Alligator mississippiensis: one gene and its partner. The protein of the gene in region 1 interacts with the protein of each later gene in a biochemical or structural test. Links are inferred from orthologs where the notes say so. Each region holds a gene or a part of one and is shown in the gene's direction. Other genes may lie near its edges.

Region 1 (7,432 bases):
TTAGCAGGGGGAAGGGAGGGATATCTGAATAAAACTGCAGTAGAATACATTGGCTGCATGTTAAAAGATACACAGGGATGTCCATCCTCTGCTACGCTTAAATTGTACAACACAACACCGCTGTTAGTCTCTGCCATACCCTCTTGTATTGATCTTATTCACTCCCAAGGCAAGCAGGTCAGGCTGGGTCAAGTCTCAGGCAGAAAGCTACAAAGGCTTTATTTGGTCCTAGATAGTCAAGGACCCAATGAAAGAAGGTACAGTGGCTTTCTACACTGGCTATTTTTATACAGTCTTCCATTTCTGCAGCTTTGCCGGCAGGAGCTATAGCTCAAAGGGAACAGACAGTCACTAGCATCTTTTGTCTCGGTCTCCAGACCTTACCCTCTTCTAACCCTGGTCAGAGCATGGTTATAAATGCTAGTGACTGGCCCAGACCAGTGCTTTTACCATTATTAGCTGCAGGAGCTGGGGCAGATGGAGATAGGGGAAAAGATAAGCGAGTCTAGGGGATTTTGGCTAGACTGGGTGACCTATGTTTAAGTGCCTGCTCTGAATCATGAAGAGCAAGAGACCTGAATTGAGGTCTCTTGCCTCCCAGCTGCATGTCCTACACCTGTGCTCTTCTTGGTTAGTTTTGGACCAATATGTTTCTCTGAACCAGCTTCCTCCTCATCTCCCTACAACAGAATTTTTTTCAGTAATATTTTCATCCAGTTCTAGAGGTCAGCTGAGGCTTAGCAGGTCTGGGAGTGGTCAGTATGGGGATTCATAAAGTGCTTTGTGTTCCTCTCAAAGATGCTATTGCAAGTGTAAAGTGTCTGCTGGGTTTTTTATGTAGCACTTTTTTTAGCGCTCCTCCATTCCTCCTGGTATCCCCAACAGGGGTGAAGGTTAGTGTAGTAATAAATGGAAGGCAGAATTTCAGCATGGACAGTTGCTTAGAGGCATGACACATGGGGAAATGGAGAGAAGTGACTGGGTGCATGTTGTGTCTGGATACTGGTGGCACTTCTGACGAGGCTAACGATGGATTCGCCTCTGGAAGGAAAACAGGGCTAGGTTGCTCCCAAGTGGTGGCAGTATCTGAGCATGCTCAATCAATGGGATCCAAGTGGTGCAAGTCAGCTTTAGCGAATCAAAATACACCAACCAAACACTCCAAAATCCTCTGCTGGGCTGTGTACTTTGCTCTCGGCCATGCTATCCCTAAGCTTTCCTTCCCTGCCGGAGGGGACCCCCAGCTGCCAGGGCTACAGGGCCAGGGACCCAGGTCCCTGATGTGGGCAGGGTGCCCTGCTGCCCACCTTCAGGGCCTCTGCAGCCCAGTGGGTGCACCCCAGCACTGCAGGACAGAGTGGGGCCGCAGAGGGATCTCTGCTGCTGCGAGCTCCATGCTGCCCTGGCAACGAGTCCCCTGTATGCGTGGCAACAGTGAGGGGCTCCACCGCCTCCTGCTGCTACCACATGCACAGGGAGCATGCACCAGGGCAGCGCGGAGCTCACAGTGGTAAGCCGCTTTCCTGCATGGCCTCACTCTGCCCTGCAGTGCTGGGTCTCACCTGTTGGGCTGCAGAGGCCCCGGGGAGGGCAGCAGGGCAGGAGTCTGAGCCTGCAGTGGGCAGCCTGCTCCCACTCCTGCCCCATGAACAGGTCTGGGGATGCGGGTCCCTTTGGCCCTCTGGAGTGCACGCAATGGTGGGGAACCGTCCCCCTCTGCCTCCCATATGAGCTGCCCACAGTCCCATCCCACTCCCTGCCAGGGCCCTGCAGCTATGTATTGCATCCTCAGGCTCCAAGCCCCATGCACTGCCTAGCTGGGCTGCAGCCCTAGCCCTGCCCAACTCCCTTCCTCCCAATGGGGGCCTCAATCTCCCCCCTTCACACTTACCTGTGGGACCTGCTCTCCAGGCTGCCTGGGCCCATGTGCATATACATGCACAGGATGCCCTCTCCTAGCCCTTTACAAGCTATAACAATGCCAGCCTGCAGAGAGCTCTTTGCAAAACTGCAAAATCCATGGGTTCCTCTGGTGAAGAGGGAAATACGTGGTTTTCTCTGTTTTTGGGGGGGGGGGGGGTTGTTTTTTTGTTTTTCCCTTGGGGAAACAAAACTCAGATCCCTGGTCATGACATCCCTGCTCACTTAGTACAACATGGAGCTTGTGTGTGAACCCACTGAGATGGAACTTCTCTCCTTCCTAAAGAGAACTGGCAGTTCTGGGTACTAGGGAGGCCAGCTTGGTTCTCTCGGGGCATAGTTCCTCATGCATTGTAGTAACTGCGTTCTGTCGGAGGCAGAGAGACTTTCAGACATAAGCTTGATCAATAGCTCTGGGCTGCCACCAACCATCCTCCCCATCTTTTCCTTCTTGATTCAGTGAAGTGGAGCAGAGAATCATCCCGCTCCTCACACATGAGGGATCAGGAGGTGGATGTTAGCTAGCTGCCCTCTACTTCAAGGAGCTGCCAAGGTAACAAGCCTGCAGAAGGTGGGAGTGAAAAGAGGCTTGGGACTTTAGATTAAGGCAGTCTTTCCCTCAGGGTGGCTGAGGGCAAGACTAGGGGAACAAAGGCACCAGCCTGATCTCCATCTGGAGTGCAGGGAACTATGAGCTTGGCTGGGAGGGAGACCCAGTGGACCTGTCTGCAGCAAACAGAGAGCAGTGTGTTGAAGACCCTGCGCTAACCTTTCACCCCCTGTATCTTTCAGGATCCTGAGGACCTAAGCTGAATTCGCCTGCTGCTGCCCCACCCCTTGAAAAGCTGTAGCTGGACAGAGGTGGGTATGATGCTTCTACTTAGTTGGGCAGAGGTGAAGGGGGCATTAAACTTCAACCATTTAACATACAACCAGCTGTAACGAGGGCGAGGCTAACCCCTTCATTTAAAGGTGTTGAGATCCCAAGTCTCAGCCCAGCTACCAGGGAGTGTGTGGACCTGAAGCAATTGACGGAGCACCACACTTTGCTGTGGGTGGGAAGTCTCTTTTGTTGTCATCTTTGTCGGCATCTCCACAGCAGACACCACCAGCTGTGTTTAAACTGTTTGTGATTTCTTGTTCTATCTGGGGTGTAGGGGACAGAGTTGAGGCCTAACGGCTCAGTACACTCATAACCTCCAACCAGTCGCTTATGATTATTCCCTTCAGCTGAAACAGTAAGAGCTCCTGCAGGCCTGAACGTGCCTTGTGTACTAATCCAGCTGCAGAAAAGCCTGCCTTATTATGCCATGTCTAATCAGTCAGAAATGAGTGTTTTGGAATGCTGGCCACTTTCCATCGCACTGCACTTCACCTTGGGGGGGTGGAGGGAGCCCTATTGTGGTGAACATTCTTTGCAATCCTAATCTCTGATAAACCAGGTGTCAACAGGGATGACAGATCCCTCCCTCTCTCCCCATAATCAAATGCATCCTCTATTGCTGCATGCTTTAAACTTGCAGGGAGTAGGGGTGGTTTGATTATGAGAAAAAATGAGATTGGGGAGGGGATAGAAAATGTTATCATAAACTGTTTCTGGTCACTGTCCAGGGAAGTAATCCCACTCTTCTCTCTGCCCCATCTTGGTTCTCTTGCTCTGCTTGAAAAGTTTGCCATTCCTGGTGGGGGCAGGCTCAAGCGCATTGCACCATTCCAGGCACACTGCTTCTGGAAGTGGCATAGCTTCACTGCAATAGTGCTGCTGTGGAGCTAATAATTCTGCCTACATGCTAATTACCCTGCAGTGCATTTTCAGTGGAGATGTGCCCATGGGTGACCACTTTACAGTTTGCGTAAAGTTTGGAACTTGAGCTTAGCCTGTAAGCTCCTTGGGGCTGGAGCTGGTTGTTTGTGCCTCTGGGGCCCTGGTCCATGAGTGGAACTCAGCGTTACCAACACAAATGCACAGTAATGGCTGTAGGGCTGAGAAGGAGTCTGGTTTTGAAGCATCTATCTTTTGCACCCAGGATCTTGGTACACTTTCAGTTACCAGGCTGGGTTTTCCCTCCTTGTGTGTTGCGACCAGGGCCTGGAAAGCTGGGCCAGGAGCCCTGGCAGTGCTGGCTCCTTCCTGAAGTAGCAGCAGTACCTGCATCAAAGGGTTGTGCCTGGCACTGCTCTGGCTCTGCTGTGACTCGGGGGGGCGCCTAGCCACTCCCCAGGGAGGCTATATCCTGCTGGTGCTAGCATTGTCTGCTTTCATCTGGTAACTTCCCAGAAGCTTGTTTAACAGGGCTGAAAGAGATGGAGCTAGAGTGGGTAGGTAGGAGTTGGCCTGGCTGCTATCTAATGGGCACTGGATTTACCTGCTGTGTTTTCCCCTTCCTCTTTTCTTCTGTGGCTCATTCTTTCTCCCTCCTCCTGGTAGAGCCACTGATCTCTCTCTCTCTCTTTCAGAGACCTTCGCACACAGCACATTCCTGATATGTCCTCACTGCTTCTCTCAAAGCACATTCCTTCCTGGTACTACGGAATAGATGTTGACCCTTTCAGGCTTTTATCAGGAGCTCCTTCTAGGGCTGCTTTCACAATACTGCTTCAGTCTGTGCAGGTAGATTTTGGAATTAAGTTGTTTATCACATTTAACCTTTTCATCATCAGTGCAGCTGCCTAGCTGCTGTGACAACTGCCAAAAATGTGGCGATTTTCCTGGCCAGGATCAGCTCTCTTTGAACCACCTATAACCAGTCCCTTGTCCTTCTTAAAGATCTGCTGGAGCAGCGTTTCTCAGTCTGTGGATCATGATCCACAGTTCACAATAATATATGAAAGAGTCACAAACTTTAAAAAATGGATCTACACACTTTAAAAATGGATTCTCCTTTAAAGAAGAAAAAAGGGGGAATTTGTGGCTTTTCCCTTGCAGGCTGGTAGAGTTTCAACCTTCAAGGGGCTGTTTGGGGAGGCCCCCCCATACCTGACATGTTTGGGGGCTGGGGGTCAGGGGCAGCAGGTTGTTGAGCACGGGACACTGGATCTGGACTGGCCATTGATGTTTACAAATGGTTCCTGGTACAAAAAAGGTTAAGAGCTACTGTGCTAGAGAAAGCTGCCTGCTGGGTGACCTGAAGTGACTCATCCTTTGCATAAGGAGTGGGGTGGGGAGGGATAGAGTTACAAGCTGGCAGCATTGCTGAGAGGAGCACCTTGCTGGAGCACCAGCAGTCACTTTGCCCACAAAGGATAGAGCTACGCAGACAACAAAGGCAAGCTAGCATTGATCAGGCTCCTATGGGTAATGATGGCAGTGAAGAGGGGGCAACACAGGCCTGATGGGGCCATTGAGCACATACTTGATCTGCCAGCTCACGCTGATGTTGCTATATCTTCACTGCTACTTGAACTAGCAATATAAAGGTGTTGTGGGCTGGCATAGCTGTACTGCAGTTGTACCTTCATCTGCTATATAGACAACAGAAGCCCGAGGGAGCTCAGTGGGGCTTCTGCTGGTATTGCTTGGACCTGAGCCATTCACTTGTGTGGGGAAGGGAGTCTCTTTTATCCAGAGGCCTTTTCCCTCTCTCCCCAAATTTCTGTGACCCTGACAAAGGGGATTTTAGACTTAACGATGTGTGAACCTGTTGTTCAGCCCTACTTCTAGTTTAGGCTCCCTATGGTAGGTCATGGGTTTGTATTAGCAGGGGTGGGTTGTGTTGAGGCAGCGCAGAAAGGTGCTGACTTGTAACCAGAGACAGCACAGAGCTTGGAAAGTGTCAAGTCTATGTTGAGCAAAGGAAGGGTGACTACCTTGGAGGACTGAGGTACATGTCTGTTCCCTCCACCAGCCCCATACCTTCTGAGACTTCCCTCACTCTTATCCTCCATCCTGGCTTTTTATTTTTGCCTCTGTACATTGTGCTCAATAGCCCTGTATTCCTTTCTGCCTCTGCACTGCTCTCTCTTGTCCCAGCAGAACAGTACAGTGCAAGCCAGTACCCTGCAGCACTTCCAAGGTTTTTGTATTCTGTTTTTGCAGCCAAAGCCCTAGATGTCTGCGTAAGGGAGATGCCAAATTGGGCCTTGTCAGAGCAGTGTACTTCCTGTGATTCAGCACAAAGCTAATGGATCCTTCTTAAAGTGGTAAACCCAGGGAAGGACAGGGGTTGCCACGGGTCACTACAGCATAAACGGGGATCTTCCCCTATGCCAAGTATGGAGCCCTCCCTCTAGTGACTACTTGTGCCATATAGGCTCTTGGCCTGTACTGACCCTGGCTTGGAGCTCGTGTACCTCCATGATGCATATTGTGCTGTGACCTTCTTCATGCTACCTTAAGGAACTTCATGGTGCACTGCGTGGTAGAGCCAGACCTGAATATTGGCTTTTGCCCAGCTGAGGCCTGCAACCTGGACTGATGCCATGGAACAGTGGCTTGCAGCGGATGGGGGAGGAGAAAGTCAAGGACTTCTGTCTCCCAGTTAGGGCCTTTGCTGGACAGAGTCTTCTGTGAGAGACCCTGCCGGGACTGATGGGACCAAAAGGCCTTGAGTGACATAAATGACCATCAAGATTGCCATGGCAACCACAGTCCCTTCTCCCTTGCTTCGACCTGCCAATGAAAGGCTGGGACTTGTCTTGTGACCTGCAGCATCTTCAGCTGCATGGAGTTCCTCACATTTTATAGGACTGGTCCTTGTGGGTGCCGAGTATAGCCGGAATGGGGCTGTGATGGAGTGGAATTAGGCACAAACGCGTACTGGTTGAATTGAAAAGAACTTTACTTACAAACTGACGTACAGGGACTTGCGACGATGCACACAGTGTAGGCACTAGCAAAATCACCGATGTTTTCTGAGCATGCAGGGTATGGGGTACGTCGGGACGGTCGTCGAAGGGGAGTGGTTGGTGGTTGATCAGGCCCCAATTTTGCTCCAAGGTACACGAGGAACTAGTTCCCAACGTACACGCGGAGTTCTCCGACTTGGGCGGAAACTACCCAAGCTTTTATACGGCTAGTGAGCCAATTGCTAGCCGCCGGTATGAATAATTTACAATGAGCCAATCGGTAGCCTGCATCCAAATGGTGCAACTGCTAGTTTTGGCGGGAGCTGATCACTGCACCAAGGCTTTTCCCGCCGTAGCGAGGCATCCCTTGCACTGAGTACTCGCATCATGCTAAGAATTCTGCTGTGTCGAGGCACTTTTAATTACTAAGTACAGACAGTCCTATTGTGTGAAGAGCATCTTTCAGTGGTGGTGAAAATAAGCTGGACTAGTTAGCGTCATTCTGGATGGCAAGGAGCACCTCATCTCCAGGTACCTATGGAGAGACAATTAACTGGGCTATGGCCCTCATCACTGCATGCAGGCTCCCCCAGGAGACTGAGCCAAAGGCATCAGAACTAACTGTGCCTTCTGGGACCTGGGATTAGAATGTATATTTTGAGCTGGGTAAGGTTTTTTGTTGTGTTTTTTTTTTTGGGGGGGGTGGAACTGTGTAATTTGGAGCAGA
Region 2 (7,122 bases), on another chromosome or scaffold:
CTGGACAAGGATGACCCTTGCTTGGCCTACCTCTGACCAAGACCTGGGTCTGGCCCTCTTGCTCCACATGGGAAGACTAGATGTGCTTGGGGGAGGGGGGTTGTTAGCAGCAAGGATTGAACCTATGACCTTCCTACTTAGAACATGAATCCAGGTCTGCTGACTTTAAAGGCAGCTGCAGCCTCCACATAGCCAGGGGCCCCTGGCACTGCCACTGAGCCGTACCATGGTAGAAACGCACTGCAAGAGCAAGCTGTGTTCCAGGGGAGGCTGAGTAGGGCAGAGCCTTGGCCAGCTGAGTGTGGACTGGTACCCTGGGTGCCTGGCACTGCTGGGAACCTAACATTGGCCTGACCCAGTGCAAGTGCCATCTTCCCCTTGGTGAAGAGATGCCTTCCCTTACTGGCTCTGCATGGAGGGGGGCTGGGGCTGGGGCCTGGTCCCTAGGGCCAGCCAGGCTGCTCATTAACAGCATCTGCCTCATTAAGAGGATTTCTGCTGGTGGGGATGAGGCTGATGGATGGGATGTTACTGAAAAGCCAGCCTAGGAGGAGGATGTTTCCTGCCCCCCTGAGCTCTAGCATCCCTGTAGCATCCTATTTCATCATTTCATGGTCGTTAAGGGCTGGAAGCAACATTACAGATCGTCGGGTCCAGCCCCCCTGCACTTGGGTAGGAAACATATTTGCTGGAAGAGGAGCTGGTGTTGCTTGACACTGTCTGAAATGGAGCGCGCTGTGAACGGATCAAGGGGGAAATCCTCCTTGCACCATGGTGCACTCAGCTGCTCTGGGTCAGGCTAATACAATTAGTGCCTGGCTTGGAGCAGGGTCTGGGGGAAGCCGTCTGGGCTGTCCTCCCTGCCCTGGTTTTTAAGCTTCAATTGCTTTGCTGTCGTGAGCACCGCTCACTACCCTGCCATGCCAGAAAGGGGAGAACCCGAGAGGGGCATGGTGTTGCTATTTAAAGAGAAGTACCTGGCCCATTTGCGTGTGCACTTGTGCAGGGGGCCGTGGCATCAGAGGTGTAGCATCTAGCTAAATTATGTCCCTGGGGGCAAACTGGGACTGGGTGAGGGCTGTTGCAGCTCTGGTCTCTGGTACAGCCTGACCCCTGTGACAGCCAAACCCAGTAGCTTGAAGGCTGCCTTGTCCCAGGGGTGTGCAAGGGCTGAGCAACGCCAGCGGGACTGTTGCAAACTAACTTTTGACAACTGACTCTTAAGTAAACCTTGGGCAGAATCCCCGATCCCACCTGGCATGTTCCTGTCGGCACGTAGGAGAAGAGGTCGTGCCCTGCACGCTCCACGAGTGCTGCTTTGACTTGCTGTGGCTTTGAACAAGCTTGCCGGAGGATGCTTGAGCTGCAGCAGGAGGATGAAGTTTTGGTGTCTTCAGCTTCTTGGGGGCTGTTTCTCTCCCTGCAATACTCTGCTCTTTTTAGGTGCGTCAGGAGCAAAAACCTGCAAATCCTTCACACACAGTCCCGATGTCTTCATTTCTCTGTGAGCTTGGAGGAGGGCTTCTGCTGCCCCTGCCTGGACAGAGCTGGTTGCTGCCCTGAATGAACAGAGCATGGATGGAAAAGCAGATGTGGGACCCAGGAGTCCTGACTTGGCCTCTTAGTCCTCCCAGCCACACAAATTCCTTCGTGCTCCTGTAATTGTGACTCACTGTTTTGGTTGCAATTTCTGGCCCAAACCCTTAAATGATCTTTAAAATGGTCTGGCCCCCTCAACTCTTATTTTTGAGGTTTAAAAATCTGCAAAAATGAGATCCCTGCTGCGCCCTGAGCGGGCGTTGCATCCTGTTCAGGACTCATCTCCAAACAGGAAGATCAGCTCTCAATCTGCTCGTCAGCCTATCGCAAGTTTCTGCATGTGGTATGAATCCCACCAGCAAGGACCTCTGGTCGCTAGCTACAGCCCCCTCGGGAGATGCAATGGGAGCAGCTGTGCAGCTGCAAGGTAACAGCAGGCATGAGGACTGGTTGTGCATTGGGGGAGCAGAGACACCCCAGGGCCCCGTCTGTGCAGGAATACGGTGGCAGGGCACCGACTCGTACCCATGTGGAGCTGTCCGTTAGCTGTAGGCCTGCTCTGCGCTCGCTAAGGTTAACACTACGCGCAGAGTGGTTGCAGCAGAACGATCTCCTTTAGCCTAATGGGTCTTTTGGGAATGTCCACACTGGCACATAGAGCTGGTCCGTCCCTATCGGGTCAACCCCTTGCCACGCTACGAGGTGGCACATGGATGAGCCTTACATTACCCTCTTTGAAAAGTGCTGCAAGCTCCTGTGTTGAAAGGTGCTGTTGGCCCTGAGTGTCAGCTGGCTGTGTAGCCCCAGTGGGCACTTGGTGCCTCCCTGCTGCAGGGCCCAGCTGCATTTCCACGTGCGGCTTTGGGTCCGCTCTGCTCTGGCCCCAGCCCGGCTGGTCTCCCCCTGCAGTCAGGGCAGGGCGAGGTCTGGTTTGCTTTAATTGCTGCAGTTTTGGCTGCGCCTGGGGGACGGACACTTCCCGCCAGTGCCGGGAGGGGCGGGGGTGCAAACTCCGAGAACGCAGGAGGGAGCTTGGCATCCTCATCTGGAGGATGCTTCTGCGGCCTTGGCGGTTGCGAAACGTGCTCAGCTGCCGGCCAGCTGTCCCCGAGCTCCGGCACTGGAGCTCGTTGTGCTGAGACCGTGCCGCAGCTCGCAGGGCGGCAGCTCATTCCTTGCTAAAAATGAGAACCAGCTGCTTGGCCCCCGGCACATGCAGAGGGGGGAATGCTTTTGGGGGGCTGGGCCCCCTCGGGCAAGCGCAGCTGGGCCCGGCCCTGGGGGCTAGTGGGGGGCATCTGGGTTTGGCTCCTGGCCTGTATCTGCTTGGCATTGGATCCACGTCTCCACAGTGCGGCAGGCGGTGGGGGGGCTTTGGGGAGGTGCAAATCAGCCGTGCCCCCCACCCAGAAGCATTTTGGGGCAGGGGAGATGAGTCGGGTGGGGGCCCTGCCCAGAGCCTTGCAGGGGATGTGGCTTCGGGCGAGCCCTGCCAGCCCTGTTCTGCACCTCCCTGACGTGGCTGTGCCCTGCAGTTGGGCAGGCTGGCGGCAGAGGGAGCCCCGGGCCCAGGGATGAGTCCCCTCGGCCCAGCCTGAGGCAACCAGGCCGGTGTGGGCTCTCCGAGCCCAAGGTCATAGGCAGCAGGGTGGGAGCTTTTTCCTGGTGCCAGACTCCTCTGCACCCCCGGGACAGTCACGTGGCTTTGTGCCACCGCAGCTTTGGGCCAGAGACTGGGTCCGGCCTTCTCCAGTGGGGAAACTGAGGCACAGAGGAGCCGCAGTCTGTGATGCCTGCAGGCAGGGCCATTGGTCCGGCCAAGAGGCAGAGCTGCGGGCGGGGCATGGATCAGGCAAGCAACCTTCCTGGGGACCAGGGGCAGTTGTGGACATGCCACGTGCCCTGGGCCAGGTGCGAAGGCCTTGGGGCTCCGGGCTGGGGAGGAGGCGGCAGGCGCTGGGCCCAGACCCTGCAGCTCTGTGCCCTGGGCAGGGCCAGTGTGGGCGGCCCCGCAGGCAGGGCAGGCGGGCGCTGGCTTGTGGGGTCGGGCTCCATGTCCACGGGCCGTGGCCTGACACTTCCATCTTCTGCTTCCCCTTCCGGGTGCCTGGGGGGCCTGGAAGACCTGGGATCGCATCCCTGCGCACTCTTGCACGTCGCTGCATGTCCCTGGCTGTCCCTGCACATCCTTGCACGCCCTTGCATGTGCCTGCATGTCCTTGCAGGTCCTTCCTTGCACGTCCAACACCCCCCACACATTCTTGCACGTCCCTGGACACCCCTGCTCCTCCTCGCACGTGTGCAGCAAGCATGTGGTTTCTGACACGCTGGGGGGGGCACGCGAGGACAGCACGTGGTGCCCCCAAAATCCCCCAAACGCGTGGGGGGGCACTTGGGGGCGGGGCTGGCCGGAGGGGGCGGGGCTTAGCCGCGCGGGGCGGGGCCCCGCTGCTGGGTGACGTCCCGCGTGGGCGCGGCCCCGCGCCCGGAGCGTGGCCCGCGGGGGGGGCGGGGCCGGGGCCGACAGGGGGCGTGTCCCGAGGCCCCGCCCCCTCCGGGCCGATATAGCCGCGTGCGGCCGGGCGCGCCCGCATCCCCGGCCCGGCCATGACCCTGCGGCGGCCCCGCGCCCGGCCGCGCCCGCGGGACGAGGCGGAGGAGGCGGCGGACGTGTACCGGGCTCTGGCCGCCTCCGGGGGCACCCTGCCCCGCGCCCGCAAGGTAGGGGCCCCGGTCCCGCTCCGCGCCCCCGTGCCCGGCTCCCGGATCGGGGCCCCGGGCACCCCCCCCCCCCCGCCCGGCTCCCGCATTGGGGCCCCGCGCGACCTGCCCCACGCGGGACCCGGAGCCCGGGGAGGGGGGCTGCGGGCCGGCAGCAGGGGTGGCTCCGGGCCCGGCCCCGCGAGGACCGGGGGAAGCCCTCGTGCGCGCACGTCCCCTCGTGGGACGGAGGGACCGGGCGGGCGGCCAGACGGCTGCGCTCCAGCGGCTCCGGAGAGCGGCGGGGACTCATTTCCTGCCTGCCGGCTCCATCCCATAATAGGCCGGCGTGGCAGGCGCAGAGGACGGTGCGTGGAGGTAGCGACCGCGAGCCGCTGGCGATCAGCGACTCGGCTGCTCGTGGGGGACCGCGGCGGCTCGTTACCCCGACGGGACGTTGGCCGCGGGCCCGGCGTGGCGACCGTGGCCTTGCTGCGGCAATGCCGCCCGTCTCGGGCGCGCCCTTCCCCTGCCCCACGCGGAGCAGCGTGGTGGGTGTCACGTCGGGGACGGCGACGTGCCAGTCCCTGGACCTTCCCTGTGCCGCGGGCCCGACGATGGCTCCCAGAGCGGGGTCCGCGCTCAGAGGCCTGCGGGTGACGTGGGCGTCGAGCGCGGCGCTTGCTCGTGCACGGTCTCGTGGCGGCCGTGCGCAGGGCGGGGGCGCCACGCCTGTTGCACGGGGCTGGCAAGTCAACCCCGCTCCAGGGGGCTCTGGGGGCATCGCTGCAGCTTTCCTCCCCTTCCCCCCGCATGCGGACCTGACTCGGCTCAGCAGCAGAGTGGGAAGCTGCGGTCACTGGAGCGTGCAAAGCAGAAGTGAATCTCGAGGCCGGGCCTCGTGGTCTCTGCTGATATGCTGCAAGGTCACGTCCTGCAAGTCCGCCGTGCAGGCGCTGGGGTGGCTCTGGGGCTCTTCCAGCATCGTCCCCCTGAGCCGGGCACGTGGCCGGGTCACCCCCAGGCAGGGGTTGGGCTCCCTGGGTGCAAGGGTGGTGGCTGGCACCAGAGCCTGGTGCCTCCAGCATCTGCCCTGGGCATGAGGCATTTGCCGCCTACCCCAGGGGCGCTGTTCTGCATTCAGGGAGGCTGCGTGCCCAGCAGGCAGCTCTGAGCCCCAGGTCCCTGCTACAGCACCAACAGTCCCTGGCCAGGCCAGCTTTGCCCTGCAGCCCCTTTCCCGAGGCTTGTCCTGCGGCCCAGCGGTTGGGCCGTGCACCCCTGCCTGCGGTAGCTAAATGCTGGGCACCGCCCAGCACATCTGGGGCACATTTCACTTGCAAACCCTGGATTTCCATGCAGGGCCAGGGCGATTTGCATCGGGCCGGAGGGACATGGCTTCCTCCTAGGGCTCTGAGCACGCACAGGGGAACTCGCTTCTGCTGATGGCAGCACTTCGATGCGTTGCAGCCCTCCCTCCGCAGAGCTGGCGAACCCTGACGGCTCCATGTTGGGGGCACGTGTTTGCGCAAGAGCGTGCGTCGAATTGCACAGGGAGATGCCCATCCTAGCAGGTCCCTGGGCTGCCACTCGCATGTGCGGCTCTGCCAGGACCCAAGCGGGTGGCGGGGCGGGAACCAGGCGTCGCACTTACTGGCTCCTGTGGCTCAGGAAGGGCCCGGACTCTGGCCCGGAGCTGATTGTTTACCCGAGCTCCCTTCCCCCTGCAGGGGAGAGCGGCTGCCGTGCTCGGCCCTTGGCCGTGGCTCCATCCCTTGGTGCACAGAGCTCCCTGCTGCCGCCTGGGTCACGTCCTGCTGCTTCCGGACGGCGGCCCTGGCCTCCAGGACGGCGTGTTCTGGACGCGGCAGCCTCCCGGGCAAGGACGGTGCGGCTTGGGGAGGTGTCCAGCACCCCCAAAGTACTGTGCAGGCCGGGGAGATCAGCCCAGCCCAGGGGTGGGGGGCACATCGGGGGGTGAGGACGTGGGCTTGGCTGCGTGCGAGCCAGCGGCTGTTTTCGGGCAGGATCCCAGTGGGCGTGGAAGGCAGCTAATGAGAACCTGCTGTCGCTGCCCGGGGCTGAGCTGGAGCCGCTTGGTGACAAAGCCCGGTCTTCATGGCCCGGCCCTGCCCGTGCCCCAGTGGCATCGGCTGACATTCGGGGTCCGGAGCCGCCCACGGCCAGGGTGATGCCTCTGTACTAATGCTTTGGCAAATCTGCCAGGCCGCGGGCTCCCTCCGTACCCTGGTTCCCGCGTCTCTCAATGCTCAACAATGCCCGGGATTGTTTGCTGGGCGGGGGGAGCTTGGTATTAAAAATCGGACTTTAGGATAAAACAGAGGAGCGTCTGTGTGAGGGGCTTTCATCTCCCAGGAGCGTGCAGCCCCCCCGGGGCCCGAAGCTCGCGATGCGCAGGACGTGACACGGGCCCGGCGGTTCCCGTTGACGTCAGTGGGGGGAGAAGGAGTGTTAAACAGATGCAAGCTCTGCTTTTAATCTTCAGATGGAGGCATAATTATTCCCATCTCGCGGGCAGGGCTGGGCCTGGCGCTTGTGGCCAGGACAAAAGGCGCTATGTGAGGAGCGCTCTGTGGCCTGCATCAAGGCTTCCCTTGTCCCCGCCGCCCCCAAGGCAGCGCCGCGCAGTGCATGCAGCTCTGGGGGGGAGCAGGTACCCATTGGGGTGGCGACGGCCCGTGCCCGTCGCTGAAGAGAGGCGCTGGGGGTCCCTGGCATGGCAAGCTGCTCCGAGCCCCCAAGGTGGGGTCCCAGCCTGCCCGATGCTGGGGGACCGGCTACGGGCTCAGCAAGGGTCATGCTGGCTTGCGGCCGTGTGTTCGGGGAGGCCAGAGGCTTGGCCCCGCAGCGAGCGGCTCCTGA

What was found. The genes of interacting proteins can lie anywhere in the genome.
Region 2: of the proteins of SRC (region 1) and TAMALIN, one has a biochemical effect on the other in vitro, tested with the Homo sapiens proteins (2 studies listed by BioGRID and IntAct, with this or other methods). The link is inferred for Alligator mississippiensis from reciprocal best matches to the Homo sapiens genes SRC and TAMALIN.

Annotation. Positions count from the first base shown.
Region 1 is NC_081832.1:17,295,995-17,303,426, reverse strand, and holds the start of SRC (proto-oncogene tyrosine-protein kinase Src), read left to right. Parts: upstream 1-4,411; 5' UTR 4,412-4,457; coding exon 4,458-4,531; intron 4,532-7,432. UniProt on the Homo sapiens protein: Non-receptor protein tyrosine kinase which is activated following engagement of many different classes of cellular receptors including immune response receptors, integrins and other adhesion receptors, receptor protein tyrosine kinases, G protein-coupled receptors as well as cytokine receptors.
Region 2 is NC_081838.1:6,439,346-6,446,467, forward strand, and holds the start of TAMALIN (protein TAMALIN), read left to right. Parts: upstream 1-4,103; 5' UTR 4,104-4,146; coding exon 4,147-4,260; intron 4,261-7,122. UniProt on the Homo sapiens protein: Plays a role in intracellular trafficking and contributes to the macromolecular organization of group 1 metabotropic glutamate receptors (mGluRs) at synapses.